2 linked regions of the Tamandua tetradactyla genome follow. The protein of the gene in region 1 interacts with the protein of each later gene in a biochemical or structural test. Links are inferred from orthologs where the notes say so. Each region holds a gene or a part of one and is shown on either strand. Other genes may lie near its edges. The genes, in order: NFKB2 and BCL3.

Region 1 (7,452 bases):
CAACATGCCCCAAAGCTGAAGTCCCACACCATCTCTTCTGCTCACTCACCTGCTTAGGCTGCTCCACAATCACCAGGTAGGGGCCATCAGCTGGGGACAAAGGGACCTTGCTGACCCAGGATCCCCAAGCCCATTTTCCAGGCAGAGGGCACATGCCTCTTCTCACCCCCTCCCTCTAACACAAGGGGAAGTTGGGGGGGGGGATGTTACTGACCCGTCTCTGGGGCTGGTTCCTTGGGTTCCACAATGGAGGGGTTGAATTTGAAATCATCATACTCAATGATGCCATCCAGGCCCTGGTTAGGAGACATATTGGGGGTGGCAGCCGATTCTGAGTCACCACCAGAGCCCTCCACCTGGCTCAGCTCTAAGCCCTCAGTAACCCCTCTCTCTCCTCCCCAGGCCCAAGAGAAAGCTCCTTTGGAAGCAGTTTGCAGACAGAGTGATTGACAGGCAGGCAAAGGACGGTGTGGAGGGGCATTAGAGTAGACACTTTTGAGATCTGATGTAAGATAGATGCAGGAGGCAGCAGACAGATGTCTGGCAGGCTGAGCTAACAGGAGGGGTAGACAGGTGTAAGGCAGCAGAGGGGCCCCTGATAGGAAGACAAGCAGACGGAGAAGGGGACAGCCGGCTGGCTCTGGGGCCAGGTGGCGTAACTCACTGGGTCGTAGCAACCGTCCATGTCTTTGGGCTAAGCCCGGCTCTGGCTGGTGGCTCCAGCCGGGTTCCGTTTCCCAGAGTTTCAGGTGCCCGCCTTGCGGGGGGTGGGGGTGGGGTGGGGTAGGGGGGACGGATCAGGCCGGGGGGTGGCAGGAGAGCGGAGCACCAAATATGGGGGAGGGTCCGATCTCCTCCAGCCGCCTGTCCGGGTGTGGCGGACGAAATCCGGTGGACGGCGAGATCCGGAGCTGGGCTGGGCCGGGTCAGGGGCAGGAAAGTTAGAACAGCTTAGGAAAGTCCCGAAAATACCAGGGGGGGGGCGGGGCCGGAGGGGGCGGGCCTGGAAATGACGCTACTGGCCCCGCCCCAGCTGCGGGAGGGGTGCGAGACCTCAGCCAGCCAGCGGGCCCCGGCCGCCTCCGCGACAGAGAGGGGATAAAAACCAGGGAAGCCCCCAAGGGGGTTGGGGCCTCCCCTCCACCCTTCAGGGCAGGCTCCGGGGACAGGAGGGTCTTTCACGGCGGGGGAGGCTCCCAGTCCGTGGCCGGGCCTGGAGCAAGCTTGGGATTTTCTGCCGAGAGGGAAGCCAGGGCTGATTCACCTCGGGGGCTTTTGAGGGGACATTCCTAGAGTAGGGAGGCCTCCTCTCCGAATGGCCTGTAGGCGGGGGCTCTTTCCAGTGGGGGGCCCCAGGGTTCTGCCACGAGAAAGGGACTCTGGGGACTGCGACGTGGGGCGGGTGGGGGGAGGTGTCTCCTCCTTGGGGCAGGTTCCTCTTTTCTTCTCCCCATTGATTCCCACACCACACAGGCTCCCAGGAGAGGGACAGACCCTGCACGCTTCCCACCCCAGTCCCACAGACATGTGTGTCTCCACAGGTACACAGGTTTGTTTTGGCCCATGTGCTTGGGTGCATACTGTGTGTGCATAGCGTCAACATGCATGTGGAAGTGAGCATGTCCGTATATAGGTGCATGTTCGTAAACTTCTCAATATGTATATGTCCGAGCATGTCTGATATGTAAGGGTACAGGTGATCATAGCTTGGAGTTTGTGCGGGAAGGATGTGGTCCACCGGTGCCCGAATGAGCACGTTGCGAGTGTATGTTGTGCGAGTCCGAGTGCACGGAATATGCTGTGCGCGTGCCGCGTACATACAACGATGCTCAAGAATGTACATACATACAACCCGTCTGTTTCGTGTGTGTGTGCATGCTCTGCGTGTGTGCATATGCAGCTCTCCAGTCCAGGGGCTGGTTCAATGAAAGCCCTCCTCCGCCTCTCCCGCGTCCCGGCCACCCAAGAGTCCGGACCCCACTCACCGCCGAGGCGGCTCGGGTTCGGTCTTTTCTCCCCGTCCGACCAGCCTTGGACGGGTCGCGACACCTCTCTAGCCACTAGGGCTCCAGCCGGGAAAGTACCTTTTCCGCCCCCCGGAGGGGGGAATTCCCATGACGTTTCTGCGCGTCATTCCCCATGCCCTTTTTCATTGGCCAGAAGTTTAACGCCCGGACTCAAGTAGCCAATCAGGAGCGACTCAGGAGCGTCTCCTAGCGGGGAAAGATTCACTCAGGGCAGGGAGCTGGGGGTCTGGATGGCCGTTGCCCGCCCAGATGTCTAGCTTCCGGGTTACCCCGAGGTAAGACTTGCTGACCGAGCACCAGGCCCTGCCCGGGACGAAAGCCGGGCCCTTGTCCTCTGGGGGCCGCATGAGCCTGCTCGGGACGGCTGGGAGACCCACTGCCTTCATACTTATGCTGCGCCGAATGCTTGGCCACGTCTGAAGCCGGGGAACCCCAGGGGGAAGCCAGCCGGTCTCAGCTGGCTTCCCCCTCCCAGAGCCGAGCCCGGCTGCCGGGAAAAGTTAGGGGAAGAGGAAGGAAGTCGATCTTGCGGTCGGTCCCACGGCGCCATCTGGCGGCCTCCCTGGGCACCTGAAGCCGTAAAGACTGTTAGTCTCTTATTCAGTCTCCGGCCTGACTCAAAGCCTCTGGAAGAGACCTGCCGGCTCTAAAACGTATTCTATTAGTGCCAGGTTCACAGTGGGCCGGGAGTTCTATGCGGGGGAAGTGGAATGGGGTGTTTTTCTGGGGGATTTCGGGCCTCTTCCAGTCATCACAGAGATCTTAAATGTTGGAATTGAAAAGGCGTTGAAAGTCTTAAATAGTTCAAAAGTCCTCTTATGTAGGAGATCGACTCTTACCTACTTCCCAGCTTCCTCTTGAATCCTTCTACTGGCGGTGAGGTCAGTACAGTATTTCACAAAACACTGACCCCGTAGCTGGACTTCTCTGGTTGGTGGAGTTTCTCTTTGGGAAGCACACAGAGAAGTAATCTCTGATCATGGAGTCATCTTCCCTAGGCCGGTGATAGAACACAGGCTGTTTCAGGTCTCTCCTACAGTTGCCCCTGACCTTCCTGGAACTGCAGGACTGCACTAGCACCGAGTGACTATTATGGCCCTTGATTTGGAAACTTATTTTCCTGTGACTTCCCCCTCCTTCTCACCTTGTCCATAAATGTCAGGTACTTTAGTATAAGTTCTTATTCTTCTCAACAACCCCAGGAGGTTAATCTTACCTTTACTGGAAAAGAAATTAAGGCTCAGATATCAGGCAGAAGCTCTTTCCCCTAAATTCATATAAAACAAAGTAGGCCTTTCCACCTATTGTGGGTCATTCAAGCAAATATAGTGTCAAATACTTTGCTGGAATCCACATTTATTGTCAACCAAGTTCCCTTGATAAATCAGATTCTTAAATATGTGGTTAGTTTGGTATATGCCAACTGAGTGAGCCTGTGCTCGTTGCCATTGACCACAACTGTTCTTTCAACGTGCTCAAAAAGCACCTGCTGAAATTGGTATGTATTCTTTCAGGGTTCACAATGTCTCCAAAAGCACCCCAAGGGGTTGACCTGTTTTAGTTACAAGATACCGAGCTGTAATTTATTTGGAGATTAAAAAAAAAAACACTACAACTTTATTATGGGAAATTTTAAGCATTTAAAAAGTAGAGAATATAGTATAATGATATTTATGTATCCTTAATTATCTTCAACAATTCTCAATTTATGTGGGGCTGGAGAGTTTTAACTCAAAGTAGTTTATTTATTGTCTGTTGCTGTGGCTTCATCAATCTGGGTTTAAGAAATCTCATTATGTTTATTTCACTAATTTGCAATCTGATCATCTGTTTCTGCACCCAGCCCTAGCGCAACACCTGCTGAGAACATATGCACCATAAATCCACTCTATTTATTCACCAACAAACAGTGAGGGCATATTTTGCTTGCAGGAAGCTTACATTCTAGTGGGACGAATCAGGCAAGTATCAAATAGATTTACGTCTGTTGGTGATAATTGCTATAAACAAAAATAAAGCAGGTAAGGGAATAGAGAGTGACAAAGGTTTTCTATATAGCAGTCCGACAAGGCTTCTTTGGTAACATTTGAACAAGGATTTGAAAAAAAATGAGGGAGTGGACAATGGATATCTGGAGGCAGAGCATTCCAGGTGGAGGGAATAGCAAATGCAAAGGTCTGTTGTGAATATGATTTGCATATTTGAAGAACAGCAAGGGTAGTTAGGTGGAACGAAGTAAGAATTTGGATTTTATTCTGAATGAGATGGAAAGCTGTTAGAGGATTTTAAGCAGTGCAGTGAAAATGATATGGCTTGTTTAAAAGGATCGGTTTGGCTGCTGTGCAGACAGGAGAGTGGAGTATGTAGAGGGGGGGGACCAGTAGACTACAGATAGCAGCCTGGACTTGGGTGGTAATCGGTGAGGATAGAGAGAAGTGATCAGACTCTGGATAGATTTGAAAGAGAGAAGCAACAAGATTTGGTGAGGGGCTGGGTGTAGGATGTGAGAAAAGGGGAGGTTTTTGACGTAAGAACCTGGAAGAATGGTGTTGTCCTTTACCGATATGAGCTAGACCAAGGAGGAACAGATTTGTAAAGGGCTGTAAAAATTTTTTCTTTTTTCTTCACTCAGAGGTGTGGACACTATTCTGGAGGCATGGTAAGACACAGCTTTTTCCTTTTTAAAATTTTTATTTATTTAAACTTTCATTGTGGTAACATATACAATATAACATTTCCCATTTTAATCACTTTCTAGTATTCTATTCAGTAGAGTTAATTATAATCATAATTGTGCTGATTTGAAAGGATGTATGATCCCATACAAAAGCCATGTTTTAATCTAAATCCCGTTTCGTAAAGGCAGAATAATCCCTATTCAATACTGTATGTTTGAATCTGTAATTAGATCATCTCCCTGGAGATGTAACACAATCAAGAGTAGTTGTTAAACTGGATTGGGGGAAATGTGTCTCCACCCATTTGGGTGGGTCTTGATTAGTTTTTCTAGAGTCCTATTAAGAGGGAACATTTTGGAGAACGAGAGAGATTCAGAGAGAGAGCAGAGAATGCTGCAGCACCATGAAGCAGAGTCCACGAGCCAGCGACCTTTGGAGATGAAGAAGGAAAACGCCTCCCAGGGAGCTTCATGAAACCAGAAGCCAGGAGAGGAAGCTAGTAGATGACGCTGTGTTTGCCATGTGCCCTTCAACTGAGAGAGAAGCCCTGACTGTGTCTGCCATGCACCTTCTCACTTGAGAGAAACCCTGAACTCCATTGGCCTTCTTGAAGCAAGGTATCTTTCCCTGGATGTCTTAGATTGGACACTTCTATAGATTTGTTTTAACTGGGACACTTTCTTGGCCATATAACTGTAAACTAGCAACTTATTAAATTCCCCTTTTTAAAAGCCATTCTGTTTCTGGTATATTGCATTCCAGCAGCTAGCAAACTAGAACAACAATGTTGTGCTATCTTCACCACCATGTATAAGAATTTTTCTTTTTAAGTTTGTAATATTAAGATGGCTCTGAGGCATGTGAGTGGAGATGTCAAGAGGCAGGTGGATGTAGGAGTCTGGATTTGAGAGGAGGGTCAGGATAGAGATACAAAGTTAGAGCTAGGTATAACAATAGTATAATGGATGGTCTTTAAAGTCTTGCCAGTAGACAAGATCACACAGGGAGTATAGAGAAAAGATTTAAGAGCTGAGCCCTGGCTATCTTAATTTTAGAGGCTGTAGAGACGAGGAGCCCACAAAAGAAATTGAAAGGGCATGCCCAGTGAGATAGAAAAGAACCAAGAAAAAGTTTCAGAAGCCAGTTTCAAGGAGGAGAAGTGATGAGTTGTTTTCTTGAACTAAAACTCTTTCTCTCCAACTGGAGGCCAGGGGCTGAGTGGTTTTCCTGTCTCATGGCCACTTGTCTCCCAAGCAGTGAAACCTGAACAAATATAACCATCCACAGGCTCTAATAACCACATTTAAATTTTTTCCTGCTATTGTGGGTTGTGTGTGCGGCAGGGGGTGGGGGGTGGAACTATGCCAATGGTAGCTCATTCTGTAGTTAATTTTTCCTGATACCATTTTTATGGGCTCAGAGAATTCGTATTTATTCTTGGCATATCTTTCCAGTTTTAATACACTTCTACTAAACTCTGAACTCACTAGGTTAAATAGCCTGTACAGCCAATGGCTGATTCAGAGCCTCAACCTTTTATTTCCTATTGGAAACTACAGAAAATATATTTAGCTTAGGAGGATTTTTGCACCAACACCAATACTTTTGAATTAAAGAAGTGTCACTGGAAAATACCATGAGGTTTGGAGTAAGATAGACCTGGGTTTGAGTCCCAACTTCTTCATTTCCCAATGCCTTGACCTCTCTGAACCTGTTTCTTCATCTGGAAGAGGAGTAAATACCTCTAAAGGTTGTTTCACCAATTCCCTTTGTAATTACATACATGATAGGTACTCTAAAAATGTCAGTTCTCTATGTTATGGTCTTAGGTCATGGAACCATCTCTAGCTTTCCTCTGGATTTTTTGGACTCTGCTTTCCTAGAATTCTGGTAGGAGATAAGATTAAGATCAGCATTTCCCTCTGGTTTACACTATCACTTTCCCCCAAAGTTTTTTTTGGTCACTTCCACATCACTAAATCATTCTTCCTTGATGGTCAGAAATAAGGCCCAAGTATTAGTTCCTCTTATAGCTTCCTCTGCTTTCTAAGAGACAACACTGTCAACAACAGAGGTCATGCATGTGTGTGTCAGCTGCTCTTTTTATAGCAGAATAAGCCTTCTGGCAAATGTTTTTCTTTTTTATGCAGTGGAGAGAGGATCAGTTTGCAATCTCTCCAGCTTCTTTTCCAACTGAAGGACAGACTGTCATATTCCTTTGTTTGTATGCTGGACCGCACATCTCTTTGTAGCAACCGACACTATTTTCCCCAAACACATGGAAGCTTCTAAAGCAGAGCTTGTGAGGATTAAATGGGAGAACTGGGATACCATAGCTGAGGTCAAGAGCCCTAGTGTCCACCTGACTGTAGATACAAGTTTTTCTGCAACACACACAGAACCTCTATCTCTGTTCCTTGCTCCAGTGTTAGGGTTGTGCAAGGCCTATGGTTAGTGTGGAAACTGGGCATGGTCTGGGTGACTTGAAGGGAAGAGAGAGAAACTAAGCTAAAAGCTTCTGATCTCTGTCTTTTTCACATTGGGCTGTTCCCATTTCGGAGATGCCCCGTTCCATACCTGAGGGATGTGCTTACAGAGGTCCAACCTCCCAGCAACATTCATATGGAAGTGCTAAGTAAGGGGAAGCCCAAGGTGATACATGATCATACAGCCAGGGGGGCTCTTTGAAGAGGGTGAGTGCCTCTAACTGTCTATGACAGAAGTTGTACAAGAGGATACCACCCTCC
Region 2 (7,586 bases), on another chromosome or scaffold:
GGGGAGAGGGAGCATGTGTGTGTGTGTGGGGGGGAGAATGGGGAGGGCGGGTGGGGCGCAGGCTGGGACACCTCCTGCACCCCGCTTTCACAGGCCACAAACACCTCACCCCTAGGGACAGATACAAAATGAAGCCCATTTCACTGATGACTCCCAGAAGTCCCCAGAGGGGGAGGAAACTCGATTTTGTTGAGTCCTTTATATATCTCAAGTACTTTCTCCCACTTGGGCTCAAGGGGATAGCCCACAAACACCCATTGCCATGTATTGAGCATTTACTGTGTACTGCCCTATCGTCTGCACTAATGCACCAAATCCTAATTGTGATTTGCACTGTTATGAAGACCGATTTCCAGATGGGGAACTGAGGCTCACCCCCTCCAGAAATGGGTCTGCTCACTCCTACCTGAGTCTCCAAACCGACTTCTGCACCCTCACACACTTTGGTCCCTGTTTGACAGAGGGGCGAATCTGAGGCATGGACCAATGAGAAAGTGGCCCGCTGAGATTCAAACATAAGTTGGCAGAATACTAAGAACTGCAACGATCAAGTGTACTGAGTGCTTACTATGTGCTAGGCCCAGAGCTCAACCCCCTCTTGCAGGCTTTCATGGCAGCCTCAGAAAATGTTCCTCTAATTGTAGGTGATAAAGTATGGGGTTGGGAAATCAATCTGGGGAGCCTTCAGATTAGTTCAGTGGGTTGCAACAGTGAAATAATAGAAAAATATCAAAGTAGACCCCATCATCAGATATTGTTTGTTTCGTGCAGTTTTTCTTTCAAGTGTGTGTACACATCTTGTGCATATGTTTGTGTGCTGGATTTGATATAAAGTAATACTAATAAACACTTATCAACCAGCTACACTATGTTAGCAGCTTTACATGTATAACTTATATCATCAATCACTCAGTGCAATGCATTTCCCACTTTGGGGCTGTGATAAAACATTTGAAGCCCACTGCTCCTTAGTCCTGGGGGGATGCGCTCTCAGGTTGCCCATTTCTGAGGAGGAAACTGAGGCTCGGAGAGGGGCAAGTCCTTGCTCAGGATCACACAACCAGCAGTGGAGAGAGGATTACAGCTCGGGTCAACGTAACTTGAAAGCCCAAGCTGAGTGCCCCTGTATGTGGTGGGTGAGGTGGGTGGAAGGCTGTCCTCCCCACTCCCCTGTCCAATAGTGGGAGAGGTCACTCACGTGTCTCCGTCCTCATCTGCGTGGGTGGCCATGGCGATGTCAGCCGACAGGGGATGTTCCATTGAACACACCATGGGGTACAGGGGGGCAGGCAGGCTCAGCAGAGGAAAAGGGGAGCCCATGGTTGGGGTGGGGTACAGAGGCAGTAAAGGTCCTGAGCAGTGGAGAACAGAGAAAGGACACTGGTGAAGCCAGGCCTGGAGACCCTTAACCTATTGCCCACCTCTTGGCCTTCAATCCTGCAGAACTGCCTACCCTTCCTTGCAGGTCCCTTTGTATCAAGATAACCCCTGCCACGTCCTCCTCTGGCCTCCCACAGCCCATTTCCCCTTGCCCCCATCTGGTCACCCTCATTGTCACTTATCTTTCCATGTGCCTGACCCCCATCACCCGCCAAGGGAGCCCCCATCATCACCCATGGGGGGACCCCAGGATTTGTTTGATGAGTGAATTTGTGGCTGAGGGAGATGAGAAATAGATGGAGAGCTGGGCATAGTGAATGTGCAGAGGGTTTGAGGAGAGGGAAGGGTTGAAATGGGAGCAGGGGGTACAAGAAGCCGATTCAAATCCAGCTATTGGAAGAGACTGTGGCAGCAGTCACATCCATACCAGTGGGGAAAACTAAGGCCTGGGTACTCATCCAAGGGATGGGAAAAGTCAGTGTGGTGGTGGCAAGGCCTCCTGACTCACGGCTTGAGGCTCTCCCTCTGCTGCACTTGGAGGGGCTTGGAAGGTGCAGAAAGTGGATCAAGTTTTGGGGTTACTAAGCGTGGGCCCATTGCAGCTTCTGGGGCCATCTGGGGAGAGTGAGGTGAACACAGCTGTGGTCCAAGGGCTGCCCCTTTCATGAGATCAAGGATGGAAACGGGATGGGGAGAATGGTGGGTAACTTTCTCCAACATCCCCTGATCCTTGGTGGGGGGGGGAGGCTCATTCCTGGACTCCCCAAGTTCCAGGTCCCTGTGTCTCCAGTACCAGACCTTGGGGCCCTGGGATCTTCTGCCCAAAGTCCACTGACTCTCTCATCCTGGCCCTAAATCCTGAAATCCCAGAATTCTCTAGCCCTGCCACTCCATTCCTAGAATTCTCAGTCTGCAGACCTCCTAAGGCCACCTGCCCTTGTGACCCCTGATTGGCATCTCAGCTGAGTTTTTGTTCTCTTGACTCCTTGGGGCCCCCAGTTATTGGGTTCCTGGAACTCTTCCTTGGATCCCTGTGATCCCAGATATTGGGATGCTCAGAACTCCAAGCTCTATTGTCGTAATTCCCCATGTCCCCTGATTTTGACATCCTGGGACCCCTTCATAGCTGTCTCTTTAGTACCCCATTTGTGGTTCCCCTGACTGCCTCTGACCCCTACGTGGAACCCAGGAACCCCAGTTTCTTGGGTCCAGGCCCTGACTCCTCATAACCCTAAATTTCTGGGTCATGGAGATTTGTAATTCTGAGGCACCTATATCTGTGGCCTGGGACTTCAGGCTATGCCCTCAGCTCCCTGGGACCCCTGTATGTGTCCCTAGGACTCTGGGTCCTGTCCCCCTGTCTCCAGCTTCCTGGGACACCACATAACTGCGCCCAGGGTTCTGCCCCCTAGCTCTGGTGACCCTGTACCTTGTGCGGTTCCCACCCAGTCCTGACCCGCGGGGGCCACTCACCCTGGTAGTAAAGCGCCTCCGGCCGGGCCAGGCCGTGGGGGACCCCGGAAACGGCAGACGCGTCGGCGCCACCACACAGGGGCTCGGAGGGGAGGACAGGGCCTGCAGAGGCGCGGGGGGCGGCGGGTTCCGGGGAGGACGCGCGCAGCGGGCGCTTGCGGAGCGGCAGCGCGGCGCCGGGGGGTCCCGCGGCCTTGGGCCGGGTGCGCAGGTCCACGGGCCCCTCGTCCATGGCCCCCGCGGGGCATCGGGGCATGGGGCCGCCGGGGACGGCGGCCGAGCGGGCGGCCGGAGCGCTGCTCCGCTCAGTGGCACGGGAGGGTGGTTGCGCCGGGCGCCGGGACTTCCCCTGCCTCCCGCTGAACTGAAGGGACTTTTGTCGGCCGGGGCGGTGCCGGCCGGCCGCCTCCCCGCCCTCGACCGCCCCCCGCCCCCCCCTCCCGGGGCCACCCGTCCGCCCCAGGGGTTTCCTGGACCCGCCGCCGCTCCCGTCGCCGCGCAGTGCAGCCCGCCGCGCTCCGCCCTGGCCGCGCCCCGCGCCCGCCCCTCCCGGCGCCCCGGGCGGCTCACCCGGGTTGGGAGGCGGGGGCGGGGGTCCCCGCCCCTGCGGCAGCGGGCTTCGCTCAGCCTCGAGGCTCTTGTCCCTCGGGCTCTGTGTCTCCCTCTCTCGGTATCTCTCTGTAGCTGTGTCTCTCCTTGACGGAGATCTCTCCGGTCTGAACACGCATCACCCCGATTTCTCTGTCGCTCTACGTCTCACCGTCTCTACCTCTGTTGTCTGTTTGCATTTCTCACTCTCTCTCTGTCTCTTAGTTGCACTCTTCTCTGCCTATCCCCCCCCCCCGCCGGGAGGTAATTCTGGGAGAGCCTGGAGTCGCTGGACCTGGGTTCGAATCCCGCCGTTCACTTCCTCACTGTGTGAACTTGACTGGGCACTTCCCCTCTCTGGGCCGTTTCCTTCTCTGTGGGAGTGAGAAAACGCGCCCAGGGCCGGGGCTGGGGGTCGGCGGGCGCCCAGGAACTGTCCCTCCGCCTCCCCTGCCACCGTCTCTGCCTCTTCTCTATGCCTCTTTGACCAGGCCCGGGGTGCCCAGAGGGACAATGAATGTGATTCCTCCCCTCAGGCCCGGGGTGCCCAGAGGGACAATGAATGTGATTCCTCCCCTCCGGGTCACTGGGTGCTCGGAGAACGGTGGGTGTACTAAGAGAGGGACACGGAGATGGAGGCGCAGAGCTCTGGAGAGACAAAGGAAAGGGACACGGGAGAGAGAGATAGCAAGAGACCAAGAGACACATCAGCAGTGCGGGGACAGAACGACCAAGGCCAGGCTCCGGGGTGGGGGGGTGGCAGTCTGACCTCCTTCTTCTCCTCCACTTTCCCCTCCCCTCGGGGAGGGGTCGAAGCGTAGGGAACAGGCCCGGTGGGTTGGTGTTGGCGGCATGACTCAGACAGGCGGGAGCAGGCGAGGGGGAGGGGCAGGGGCGGGCCCCGTCCGCGTGGTCGCTCCTCCCCCTTCTCCCGCCCAGGGGGCGGGGCTCCTGCGGCCCGGGGCTTTCCCGGATTTCCCTGGGGGCGGGGCCGCCGCTGGGGTTGAGTCCGGGTCACTGAGTCACGGGAGGCGGAAGAAGGGCTATGCAAACCTGGGGGAGCCGGACAAGGGGTTCCGCACCCCAGAGCTGTCCGGACGGCACCCGGCGGGGTAGGGGTCTCCCTGCTTTGCTCCCTGAGACCCTGTCTGTCTGGACAACTCTGTCCTCTGTCCGTCTTCCCTTCTCCCTTTTCTCTCACTGTCCCTGATCAGGCTCAGCTTCTCTTTGTCCCTTTCTCCCGAACCCATGACATTGTCCTTTTGGCTCTCCATCTCTGCCTGATCGTTCTGTCTCCTGGCAGCGTCTCTCTGGGACCCGGAAGCGGGTGTGGGGCCCCGTCCACCAGGAAGAGACTTTGGCCTGGACGCGGGCCCCACCCCAGTGGATCATTAACCGGGATTGGGAGGAGCAGCTGGGGGCAGAGAGAGTCCCGGCGCCCTGGGCCTCTCTGTTATCCCCCCTTTGAAGCCCTGCAGTAGAGTGAAACATCTAGGGTCACAGACCTGGGTCCAAATCTCACTCCCACCCCTTGCTCACCTAGGGACCTTCAGCAAGCTATCCCCTCTCTCCTGGAAATGAGCCTCTTGAGCCCTGCCTCCCAGTATCCTATCGTGGGAGCTACAACGAAGGAAAGAGGAAGGAAGTGGGTTGGGAAGGGCTGGGCGTCCCGGCCCACCCAGCACTCACCTCTTAGAACCTTAAGCACAGGGGAGGGGCAGTGTGTGGAAGCTGAGGTTCAAACGGTTGGTGCTCAACAAGCTGGTGACCCTAAGACCCCCAATTCCTCCCACTCCCCATCACCTTGTGGCAGGTGGTGCAAAGGGCCTGGGGCTAGACAGAACTGGGGGGAGGGGGGCATGCACACCTGGCCCAGAGAGGCACTTTGAAGGGCTGGGAGAAAGGGTACTGATGGCTCAGAGTTTGAGGATGGAGGAGAGGATGAGGGATAAAAGGGTCTGAGGACAGAGGATCTGAAGGAGGAAGACAAGTCTGAGAACTTGATTGTCTGAGGGAGAGGGGAGAGAGCCTGATGGAGGGATTGGTGGAGAAGATGAGGGCCTGGGGGTCAGGGAAGAGGGACTGAGGGAGGAGGTCAGAATCTGAGGGAGGGGGCCAGGATCTGAGGAAGAAGGATCAGTCTGAGGAGAAGGACGAAGTAAGGAGGTCAGAAGTGCGAGAGAGTTGGGAGGAAAAGAGGGGTCTGAAAGAGAAGGAGACTTGGAGAGGGTCTGAGGGGGAAGGGCTTGATCTGAGGGGGGAGCAGCAGACTGAGGAGGGTCTCCTTGTGGCAGAGGGGGAAAGAGGCATGCCTGAGGAGCCAGCAGGGACTAGAGGGAGGGAAGGGAAGGCAGGCTGGGAGTCGGCCCCGCCCTGCTGCTCTCTGACTTCCCAGAATCTTCTGCTACTCAGGAAAGTCCCAGCTCCTGCACCACCTCCCTCCAGTGTCGGGAACGGAGGATGCGGAACCAGGATGGCTGTCCCCTCCTTTCCCCCCTCTCTCCTTGCACCCCAGGCAGGGAGGGCTGGGGTCTTCCCTCTCTGGGCCTTGAGCTCTGCAGCCCTCTCCTGCCTCCTGCCCACTGCTGGCGGGGGCAGCCCCTGGATGAGTCTGCAGAACTTCCTGAAGAAGGCCTGGAAGTCCTGCTTGGAGTCTGACCATTTTCCCTCATGCAGTTTGTTTCTCCTCCCAGCTGCCTCATCTTCCCTCACCCACATTCAACTCTCCCTGTGGGAGGAAGACCAGGAGTTTGCCCATTTGAGGTCCCAGTGGTAAAGGAAGTGCAAACTGAAACGCTGTGGGCATGGGGGCATCTCTCCTGCTCTTTGGGCCTTGGTTTCCTCTCCAAAGGAGAGGAAAAGGGCAGGGCGGCTCAGGCCCTTAATACCCATCGGCTCCATTCAGGGGCCTTCTGCTACTTTGCTTCAAACTGAGGCCTGGGTGCAAGTCCTGTGTCCTGCCCTGACTGGCTTTATGACTTCCAGGCAGTTACCTGCATGGAGCTTCAGCTTTCTTATCTATAAAACAGACCAAATAGAGAAAATTTGCTTCCCTCTATGGGGCCTGATGTGTAGAAAGTGCTCAGTGCAACGAAGCTACTACTTTTATCATTATTGTCAGTTAACCTAGGCTGCCAGCAGCAGGACCCACTTCACTAGGGTGATTAGGATTCAGTGTGCTGGGCTTAGAGACCTGAGGGTGCCATGTGCTAGCTATGTGACCTTGGGCTGGTGGCTTTCTCTCTCTGCCTTTGTTTTGCTTTCAATAGTTGGGGATGACAACAGCGCCTGCCTCAAAGCGCTGCTGAACAGACTGTGTGAGACCAGGTTTGTGCGATGGGAGAATGAATGAATGCCCCCCCCATCTGCCTTAACCTCACCCTGTGCATCAGGCTGGGGTCTTCTTGTCACCTTTATTTGTCCAGAGATGAGACAAGACCTGACCCAGTCAGCTCCCACTAGAAACTGGCCCACTTAATCCTCTCAACACCTCAGAAAATTCACCTAAAACCCCCATTTTATTGAGGTGGACACTGAGGCATAGGGAAGTGAAGTCCCTTCCTAGGGTCGAATGGTGAGGAACTGGGGGAGTTTTTTAATACAGGGCTCTGGACCCCAGGACTCTGGTTCAAACCTACTGAACTGGCAGGGGTGGTGATTAGTTCCAGAAACCATTAATTCTAGCCTCCTACTCCCTGGAGAGGAATGGTTTAGATGGAGAAACTGAGGCATGGGGCAGCAACCATGTGCCCAAGGGCATCTATGGGTTTTAGCCCAGTCCACACTCTTTCTGCTGCGTTTCTTCAACCCCAGGGAGGATCGAATGGGTAGAGAGGGGTCTCATTGCAGCAGGAGGGAATAAAGTTAGACTTCAGGTTAACTGATAGAGAAACCATCACCAGAACCTCCAGGGAGGTTCAGAGACAGCAAGTGAATTCCACAGATAGAGGCAAACAGAGGCTCTGGGCCTGGATGGGGAGGGACGTGCCTGAAGTCATACGGCCTCCCTTTTGGGATCAGGGCTGAAAAGTCCACCCCCAGTCTGCCTGCCACTCTGCTGCCCAAAGCTGCCTCTCCCTTCTCCCCAGGGGTAAATGCAGGCCAGCTTCCTGGAGCAGGGTCTGCCACCTCCTGGTTCCTCCCTG

The links.
Region 2: the proteins of NFKB2 (region 1) and BCL3 form a complex in vitro, tested with the Homo sapiens proteins (2 studies listed by BioGRID). The link is inferred for Tamandua tetradactyla from reciprocal best matches to the Homo sapiens genes NFKB2 and BCL3.

The regions. Positions count from the first base shown.
Region 1 is NC_135339.1:64,284,080-64,291,531, reverse strand, and holds the start of NFKB2 (nuclear factor NF-kappa-B p100 subunit), read right to left. Parts: upstream 3,047-7,452; 5' UTR 2,867-3,046; intron 2,454-2,866; exon of another isoform or gene 2,214-2,453; 5' UTR 1,986-2,213; intron 917-1,985; 5' UTR 686-916; coding exon 665-685; intron 297-664; coding exon 215-296; intron 91-214; coding exon 50-90; intron 1-49. UniProt on the Homo sapiens protein: NF-kappa-B is a pleiotropic transcription factor present in almost all cell types and is the endpoint of a series of signal transduction events that are initiated by a vast array of stimuli related to many biological processes such as inflammation, immunity, differentiation, cell growth, tumorigenesis and apoptosis.
Region 2 is NC_135342.1:18,276,170-18,283,755, forward strand, and holds the start of BCL3 (B-cell lymphoma 3 protein), read right to left. Parts: upstream 3,214-7,586; 5' UTR 3,110-3,213; coding exon 2,854-3,109; intron 1,353-2,853; coding exon 1,199-1,352; intron 11-1,198; exon of another isoform or gene 1-10. UniProt on the Homo sapiens protein: Contributes to the regulation of transcriptional activation of NF-kappa-B target genes. In the cytoplasm, inhibits the nuclear translocation of the NF-kappa-B p50 subunit.